Callithrix jacchus: one gene and its partner. The protein of the gene in region 2 interacts with the protein of the main gene of each other region in a biochemical or structural test. Links are inferred from orthologs where the notes say so. Each region holds a gene or a part of one and is shown on either strand. Other genes may lie near its edges.

Evidence for each region.
Region 1: of the proteins of GSK3B (region 2) and NIN, one has a biochemical effect on the other in vitro, tested with the Homo sapiens proteins (2 studies listed by BioGRID and IntAct). The link is inferred for Callithrix jacchus from reciprocal best matches to the Homo sapiens genes GSK3B and NIN.

The regions. Positions count from the first base shown.
Region 1 is NC_133509.1:85,314,223-85,317,866, forward strand, and holds part of NIN (ninein), read right to left. Parts: intron 2,837-3,644; coding exon 2,723-2,836; coding exon of another isoform or gene 2,642-2,722; exon of another isoform or gene 2,599-2,641; intron 171-2,598; coding exon 1-170. UniProt on the Homo sapiens protein: Centrosomal protein required in the positioning and anchorage of the microtubule minus-end in epithelial cells. May also act as a centrosome maturation factor.
Region 2 is NC_133516.1:82,767,084-82,771,496, forward strand, and holds the start of GSK3B (glycogen synthase kinase-3 beta), read left to right. Parts: upstream 1-1,489; 5' UTR 1,490-2,526; coding exon 2,527-2,614; intron 2,615-4,413. UniProt on the Homo sapiens protein: Constitutively active protein kinase that acts as a negative regulator in the hormonal control of glucose homeostasis, Wnt signaling and regulation of transcription factors and microtubules, by phosphorylating and inactivating glycogen synthase (GYS1 or GYS2), EIF2B, CTNNB1/beta-catenin, APC, AXIN1, DPYSL2/CRMP2, JUN, NFATC1/NFATC, MAPT/TAU and MACF1.

The DNA.
Region 1 (3,644 bases), on a different chromosome or scaffold from region 2:
GTCAGATTCCTAACTATATTACTGAGGCTGGCAATCTTCTCTTCCAGGAGGTAGTTTTTCTTCTCGGCTGTTTTCTGTCGCTGTTCAGTCATTTCCAGAGCTTTCAACAACTGGGCATTTTCAACATACAAATCCTTCACCATCGCGTCTGCCTTAGTGTTCTTGCAGAGCTAGAAACAGAAGCAGAAACATCTTGACTCTATTTCTGTATCTCTTCTTAGTTGAAGTTCTGACATAAGGACAGTTATTTTAAAAGGCAAATCACTTCTTCTAATGATATTCTTTTATTTTACAATATAGATTTATCATCAGACTTGGCATCAGGGATGCCACTGGAGCAAATCCACTTTTTCCAAGCTATTTCTTTGCATGTTTATGTAAGTTACCAATAAAAAGAACAGATTGATATCAGAGAGCTCCAGAAGTTTTCTTCTACCTAAATAGGCATTATTCCTTTATTTATTCTTTAAAAATATGAAATACTTTGATAACTTAAATTCCTGAGGTCAGGTGTGGACTGTTTAACTCTGCTTGTAACCAAAGATGCTTGAACCTCCCCCATTCTTAACTACAACCCACTGATTATTTTAAAATTTAGCTCATATATTATAACAGAGAGAAGATTTGGGCAGTTACTTTTCCTGAACTTTTTTTGCATGGGGCCTTGTCTAGTCTATTTATAGTTACAATAAATAGTCTAGGCCAGGCACAGTGGCTCAGGCCTGTAATCCCAGCACTCTGGGAGGCCAAGGGGGGCAGATCACCTCAGGTCGGCAGAAACTCCATCTCTACTAAAAATACAAAAAATTAGCTGGATGTGGTTGTGTGCGCCTGTAATCCCAGCCACTTGGGAGGCTGAGGCAGGAGATGGCTTGAACCTGGGAGGATGAGATTGCGGTGAGCCGAGATTGCCCCATTGCACTCCAGCCTGGGCAACAAGATCTCCGTTTAAAAAAAAAAAAAAAAGAATATACAGTCTAGGTTGAGGTGGGAAAACTTGTTAGCAGTGCCTTGGGATACTTTCACCGTCATTCTGGTTAATATTTTCCAGTCTCCCTTCCCATGTTACACCTTTTAACTGTTCATTTTATACCCAATTTCAAGTAGAGCATCTAAAACTGTAAAGGTTTATGAGAATAAAAAGCAACTAAAAGAGTGGCTTAACAACTTATTAGCATTTCAAAGGGCAAGGATAAGGATGACAGCACCCAGAACCTAGACAACTGGCAGCTCTCACTAATATTTCAGAGCCTGTTCTCTGTTGAACTTCCTGAATACAACTTTTTTTTCCTTCCTCTCTTCCTCCCTTTTCCTTTCCAAAAATAAAAAACAAAACAAAACCAAAATGACTCTGATGGCTCTTCATCACTGACAGAATAAAACTGAAGCTCCTTGGCTCAGCATTGGAGGCCAGCTGTCCTGTTCCTCCTTCCTCTCTAGTCTCCCCTCCTGCCTCTCCCAGGACAATGTGAACTGTCAATGTGGACGTGATTATACGTCCACGCCCCACATGTTGCCATAACTCCACGATGTTCCCACAGCCTAGAATGCCCTTCTTAACTGGTGAAATCTTACTCAACCCTCAAGATGCAGCTTAAGAGGCCTTCAGGAAACTTTCTTTAAACTTCTGGGTTGGATCAAATATCTCTTCTCTTGTGTTCCCGTCTACTGAAAACAGATGGATCCTATTTATTTCTGAACCTACCATTTGGCCAAGCTGGGCAGGGACTTTGTTCACTGCTATACCCATGTGTGTACAGCAGGACCTGGCCCACGGCAACTGTGTATTGAATGCTTGAATACGTAAAGAACTGAATGCATAAATGCTCACTCAGCAGGACTTTTTCTTCTCTGTGTATTAAGATACAGGCCAACAGAAAGTTCCTGTCTACAAATGAATTCAGACCCTCTCTTGGGAGGATTATTCTTAGGTCTTAAGTATCTAAAGAACTAGGTGGGCAATTTCTGCCCCCCCCCCACCTGTTTGTCTCAGTCTCAGTTTCCAGAGAGGCCACAACACTCTCCCAGAGGGTAGTACTTTCTGCATGTCTCTTCAGGGGATGTGCAACTAACTGCTAAACACCAAGGACACATCTGCCACCAGCGGATGAAAAGGAGCAGACTGATTAGTGCTCCTCTAATTCAAAGTACATCTTTTTGGAGTCTGGCTGTAACAGTAAGATACTTTTTTGAGGTTTTTCAGAAGCTTTTGGGAACAGGAAAGCTAAAGTTCTATTTATCCCCCAGCCCCCTTTCTTTTAAACCTATGTCATTTTTCTTTTTTTCTTTTTCAGGCTTCAGCCCCTCAAACCTATGTCATTTTTTCCAATTTAAATAGGAATATTTCCAGTCTTGGGCAGAAGAAAATCTATTGATTCACATGGACCTAAAAAAACATATCCATTCACATGCTTTAGGTCCATATGAATCAACAGTTTTTTTTTTAATTTTAAAAATCTTAGGTCCATGTGAATATTAGCAAAGAGTTACAATTTTAAATTGTGAACAAACCAGCCTTAAACAGAGCTCTGGAAAAAAAAAGAGTTCATATTTTTGGGGTGGTATGAGGGAGAGCAAATCCTAAGTTCTTGTAGACACTTAGAATAGAATTTGCCTTTATTAGACAATGTAAGTTAACAAGTTAATAGCAATAGAGGGATGTAAAACTGGAGTTAAAGCTGGAATGTGAGGTGGGTGAACAGAGATGACCGGGGAGGCTCACTTGTTCTTTGAGCTGATTCACTTTCTCTTGAAGAAGGCTTTTCACTAGTTTCAGTTTCTGTTCAACTTCTATCATTCGTTCCTCCATGATGGTTACCAGTTGTTCCTGGTTTCCCTGAAGGGAAGAAAAGTGCATTATCATTTGAAAGTCATGTCACACTGAAAAGAAAACACTGGTTTATTTTCCCCACAAGATGCCTAGAGAGGACAGCAAATGTTTTGCCTTTGTAACAGGAAGGATGGATTTCTGATGAAATGGGACTTTTGAGCCCTGCATGGATTGCACATGTAAGAAAAGTAACCCTATCACACAAAGAATCAGATTTTTAAAAAAAGAATCTTACCTGTGTTACCATCGTCCCCCGATATAAACCAAAATTCTTTAAAACCCATAATTTAATACCTGTGTGTACTTCTAGTAAAATGGACATCCAAGGTAAGTTAAAAGATAGATAGTTATCACCTCTCATCTGTGATTTGGGTCTTTGCAGTGTTGTGGGCCTCTCAACAACAAAACAAGCACTGACTGTATTCAGGGTTTCCTAACAGTTCCAATCAGCTTGCAATAGGCATGTCTGTTTTTCCTCTGAAGCAGCTGATAACTGTGAGGGTGTTAGTGTTTCTTTCTTCATAATAAGCAGCCTCTTCCTGCCAATTTTTCTAGTCATCTGTTTCCCACTTGTAAATGTGAAGCACACATCTGGATTGGAGGATGGTTTATTACCAAAGCAGACTGAAAATTAAAAATCTCCTCTTCTCTTCTCACACAATGGTGATAGGTTAAGGAGTAAGTGGGTTTTGGAGAGCAGCAATACCTAGAGAGATCAGAATGCAGCCGCCTCCCACCCGCCATCCCTCTGCAGTCCACCAAAATGCCCCCATGAGGAATTTCAGATTTCAAAAAGGTGTTAACAGGTGATGGT
Region 2 (4,413 bases):
ACTGTTCTCAAGCAGACCAAAGGAACTGGTTCTCTGGAAGAACAATGGACACTGGTCTTCTGTATGACATCTACTCAAGCTGTATTTTATAGATCGCCCTAGCTTCAAAAGATCCAAAGCTACCAGGAGTTGATCTGGCCCCCCATTTCCTCGGAGGCTTCAGAATATCCGGCCTGACCGTATTTCCCTTCACCTGCTTTCGGGGCCCGTTTTGCGCTGGGCAATTGCGCCCCAGGAGCGCGCGCATCCAGCATGAGCTCATTTCTCAGGGGCGTTTCCAGAGCCCCGGCCCAGCAGCATACACCAAGAGCAGCGAGCCTCTCTATCAGTGGCCCCCGCGGCTGGGCGGGGCGCGACCGCCCAAAGGCGCTGCCTTTCTGGAAGCTATGCTCCCACTTTAGCGTCTGAGAGTTTGAAGCAGGCCGGGAAAGGCCCTTTGGTCCGTCTGCCCCTTTCGGGGAAGAGGCCGACACCCGGCACGCGCGACCCGGGCAGAGGGGAGCCTTGGGTGCGCCGAATTGGCCCCGCCCGGCCGAGAGCCTCCTGTGGGTGAGGAAAGCCCCTCGACCCCTCTGCTCGCTGAGCGCTCAGACCCCAGCACTGCCGACCATAGTACTTTCCGACTTGCTAGGCAGGGGACCCGCGGTCTCCACCGTTGCTGGAGGCGGCAGTTGCCTAGCCGTCAGGCCGTCAGCCACTACCCCAGTCGGGCTTCTCCCCGCTCCCTGGGACCAAGGCCGAAGGCCAATCACACTGCAGCTAGGTCTTGCGATTGAACGGCAGTGAGAGCCGATTGGCCACCGTTGCGGGTTTCGGGTTCCCTCCCTCTCCCTTTTGCCCCAACTCCAGCGCCTAAGCTTCAGGCCAATGAGACGGCGCTTTATAGGCGCCCTCCCTTCGCTTTCTTCTCCCCACCTTGGAGAAGGAGGAGAAGTCCTGACTGGCTAGACTGTCCTCGGAAGCCCCCTTTCCTTCACCAATCACCAAGGGCGGTACGCTCCCAGTGGAGTTTTCCAACCAATTACAAAGCGGTGGCGGCGCCCAGCCGTGCAGTTTCACCAGCGTCTCCGGGTTTCACCGTCCTCAACTCTTCAAGCGTTTTCATGAGGCCGGCGATTCTGATTGGCCCCAGTTGCCATTGTCGAATGTCTCCTCTAGCCAGCCCTTTCCGTACGGCTACCTTCGGCATTTTCCGCTCTTTGGGCGTGGTTTCCCATCGACATTTTCTAATTGGTTTCTCAGGCCGATCGGCTTCATCCGGGAGGAGTCGCAAACAAACGACGTCCGCGATTGGCTCTTTTCGGGCTTCGGCTCCAAGCCGAAGCGGGCGAGCGCGGGGCTCGGCCGGCGATTCCCAGACGCCTGTTACGCGGGCGGCTGGACGCTGGGCGGTGTAAGGCTGGGTGGGGGAGGAAGGAGGTGGAGGACGAGTAGGAGGGGGGAGGAGGGAGTGGGGAAGTGCAAGGCGGCTGCGCAGACAGCGCTCCTCACACAGAGCAGCCCCCGACCCGGGCGAATGCGGGCTTGTACCGCCGCCGCCGCCGCTGCCGCCGCCGCTGCCCGGGCCGAGTGACAAAGGAAGGAAGGAAGGAAGCAAGGAGGAGCCGGCCCCGCAGCCGCTGACAGGGCTCTGGGCTGGGGGCAAAGCGCGGACACTTCCTGAGCGGGCACCGAGCAGAGGCGAGGGGCGGGGGGGGCGGGAGGGCGGCCGCGCTGGTGCCGCGGACGGGGGAGGGGGCCCCGAGAGACGGAAGCGGTTGCCGGGTTCCCATGTCCCTTGCGTATGGGGAGCAGTCGAGGAGCCGCTGCCTGGGGTCTGAAGGGAGCTGCCTCCGCCACCGCCACCGCCGCCGCCATGGCCGCTGGATCCAGCCGCCGCCTGCAGCTGCTCCTGGCGCAATGAGGAGAGGAGCCGCCGCCACCGCCACCGCCCGTCTCTGACTGACTCGCGACTCCACCGCCCTTCAGTTCGCCGGGCCCCCGCCGTCAGCCCGCCGGATCCCGCGGCTGCCGGAGCTGCAGCGTTTCCCGTCGCCTCTCCGAGCCACCCCCTCCCTCTCCCTCCCTCCTTCCCATCCCCCTTTCTCTTCAAGCGTGAGACTCGTGATCCTTCCGCCGCTTCCCTTCTTCATTGACTCGGAAAAAAATCCCCGAGGAAAATATAATATTTGAAGTACTCATTTTCAATCAAGTATTTGCCCCCGTTTCATGTGATATATATTTTTTTAGGATTTCCCCCCTTTTTTCTCCTCCCAAGAAAAGAAGGGGAAAGAATTGTATTTTTTTCCCCAGCCCTAAATCATCTATATGTTAAATATCCGTGCAGACCTATCTTGAAGGAAAAATACATCGCTCTTTTTTTTTATAGTATACAAAAGGAGTGGAAAGCCGAAAGGACGAGTCTGTTTCTTTTTCTTCTGTGGGAGGACTTAATGCTGCATTTATTATTAACCTAACACCCCAACATAAAGACAAAAGGAAGAAAAGGAGGAAGGAAGGAAAAGGTGATTCGCGAAGAGAGCGATCATGTCAGGGCGGCCCAGAACCACCTCCTTTGCGGAGAGCTGCAAGCCGGTGCAGCAGCCTTCAGCTTTTGGCAGCATGAAAGTTAGCAGTGAGTATTGATTTTATTTTACACTCCTTTTCCGCCTCGCCCTTAGAAACCTCGGAATACCAGAATCTGAAAATAATAGACCTCTTCATAAAACAGTCAAACAGGTAATGCAAAAGAGCAAAACCTGTCTTCAGTCAAGAATGAAGCAGCTCCCTCTCTTCTTCTCCCATACCCCCTCCCTCGGTCTCATTAACCTTGAATTGAGAGAATATGATTTTTATTTGGACGATTCGATTTGAAACTGCTTTCTTTTCGTATACTTTCTTGCTGTTGGTAGTTAGTTTCATCAAGTGCTTGAGTGTTTCCACGTTATATTAGTGATGACAGTGTTTACTTGCTCATCCTTTAGAATAAAGAGGACAAGATTTGATTCATAAACCATTATGTACGTTTGCAGAACGTATGCCTTTTGGAATGAGTGAGGGTATTTTAGGTCTCAGGGGTTATCATAGTTTGGTATACTTTATTGAAACGTGAAATGTCCCACTCTCCCAACATTTTTTTCTTGTCTGTATGACTATACATAATATTCTTAATCTGTGGATGAACTTCCTCAGTAACCATTCACATTTGGAGACTGGCATTGATTTCTCCCTTTAGAAGGGACCAGTGGGAGCCAATAAATACCCAGCAGCAGTAGCATCTCTGTATGCATTGTCTTCAATTTGGATAAGTGGTTTGATGTGTTATCTCTTAAACTCCTGTTTTGACATTATCAACCTGCCACTGTATAATTATTTAATCAAAAGGTAACTTGGAAATATTAATAGGTCCAAGTTTTGTTTGTTTTGTCATCGTGCCAAATACTAAGTTAAATGTTGTCACTGGCTCATTATCATTTAAGTTAAATTTTGGAGTGCTGTTGCATTCATTACCTGTTAAATGTTCTGTAGTACAGGGGGGTTCCTTAAAAAGGACATTTAAAATACTCTTGCGTTAGTTACCACCTCATTTAGGTAACACTGGATTTAGTTAGAAGAATGTGGATTTAGTCCTTTCCATTTTGGCTTTTGCAGATGGCTGTGGTCCTAGAAATAATAGGGATATTTGGGCTGCGTTCAAGGTTGTGGATACATTGTACTCTCGTCCTGGGTTTGGGCTGAAAAGTATGCTCTTGAAGTGTTTAGTATATACCAAGTATCTAATGTTCCAGTGTATCTCTGTTTGTGGAGCTGTTCATGTGGTATTTAATGATAGCTTGTTTAAACATACTTCCAGAATTTAACAAAAATATCTATATTGTTTCCTTATTGTGGAAAAGAGGGGCATGATAAGGGCAAAGACAAGTTATTTTGTATCCTAGAAGAACTAAAGAACTGAGATTTTAAGAACCCCCCCCCCCAAATGTATGTTATGTGAAATTGATTATATCTTTAGGCAACATAAAATGATCACTTTTAGTTGAACTCAGCGTTTCAATTCATGTTGGCTTTGGGAACTAGCCTGAAACAGGATAGTCTAGGTAATAGCTGAATTGGAGATTATTTTTGAAAGTTAAATTTTTTTTTTTAGGTGTCTTGCAAATGAATGCTGGGGTAGGTAAAGAGGAAAGCTGATTATGCATATTTCAGGGAAGGGTCCTGCTTTCTAAGTACTTCATGGGGTCATTTGAAAAATATTTTTAAATTCCAGGGTAATTTTCAGCTATAATGGTACAAGTCTTCTAATAGCTACTTTCGAGCCTCTTGTGGTACTGGAATGTTTGTTTGTTTTACATCTAGATAATATAGTTTGAAAACCAATCAATTTCAGGTAATTGATTTATTAGCTTTATTTCAGAGATCTATAATGCTAGATTA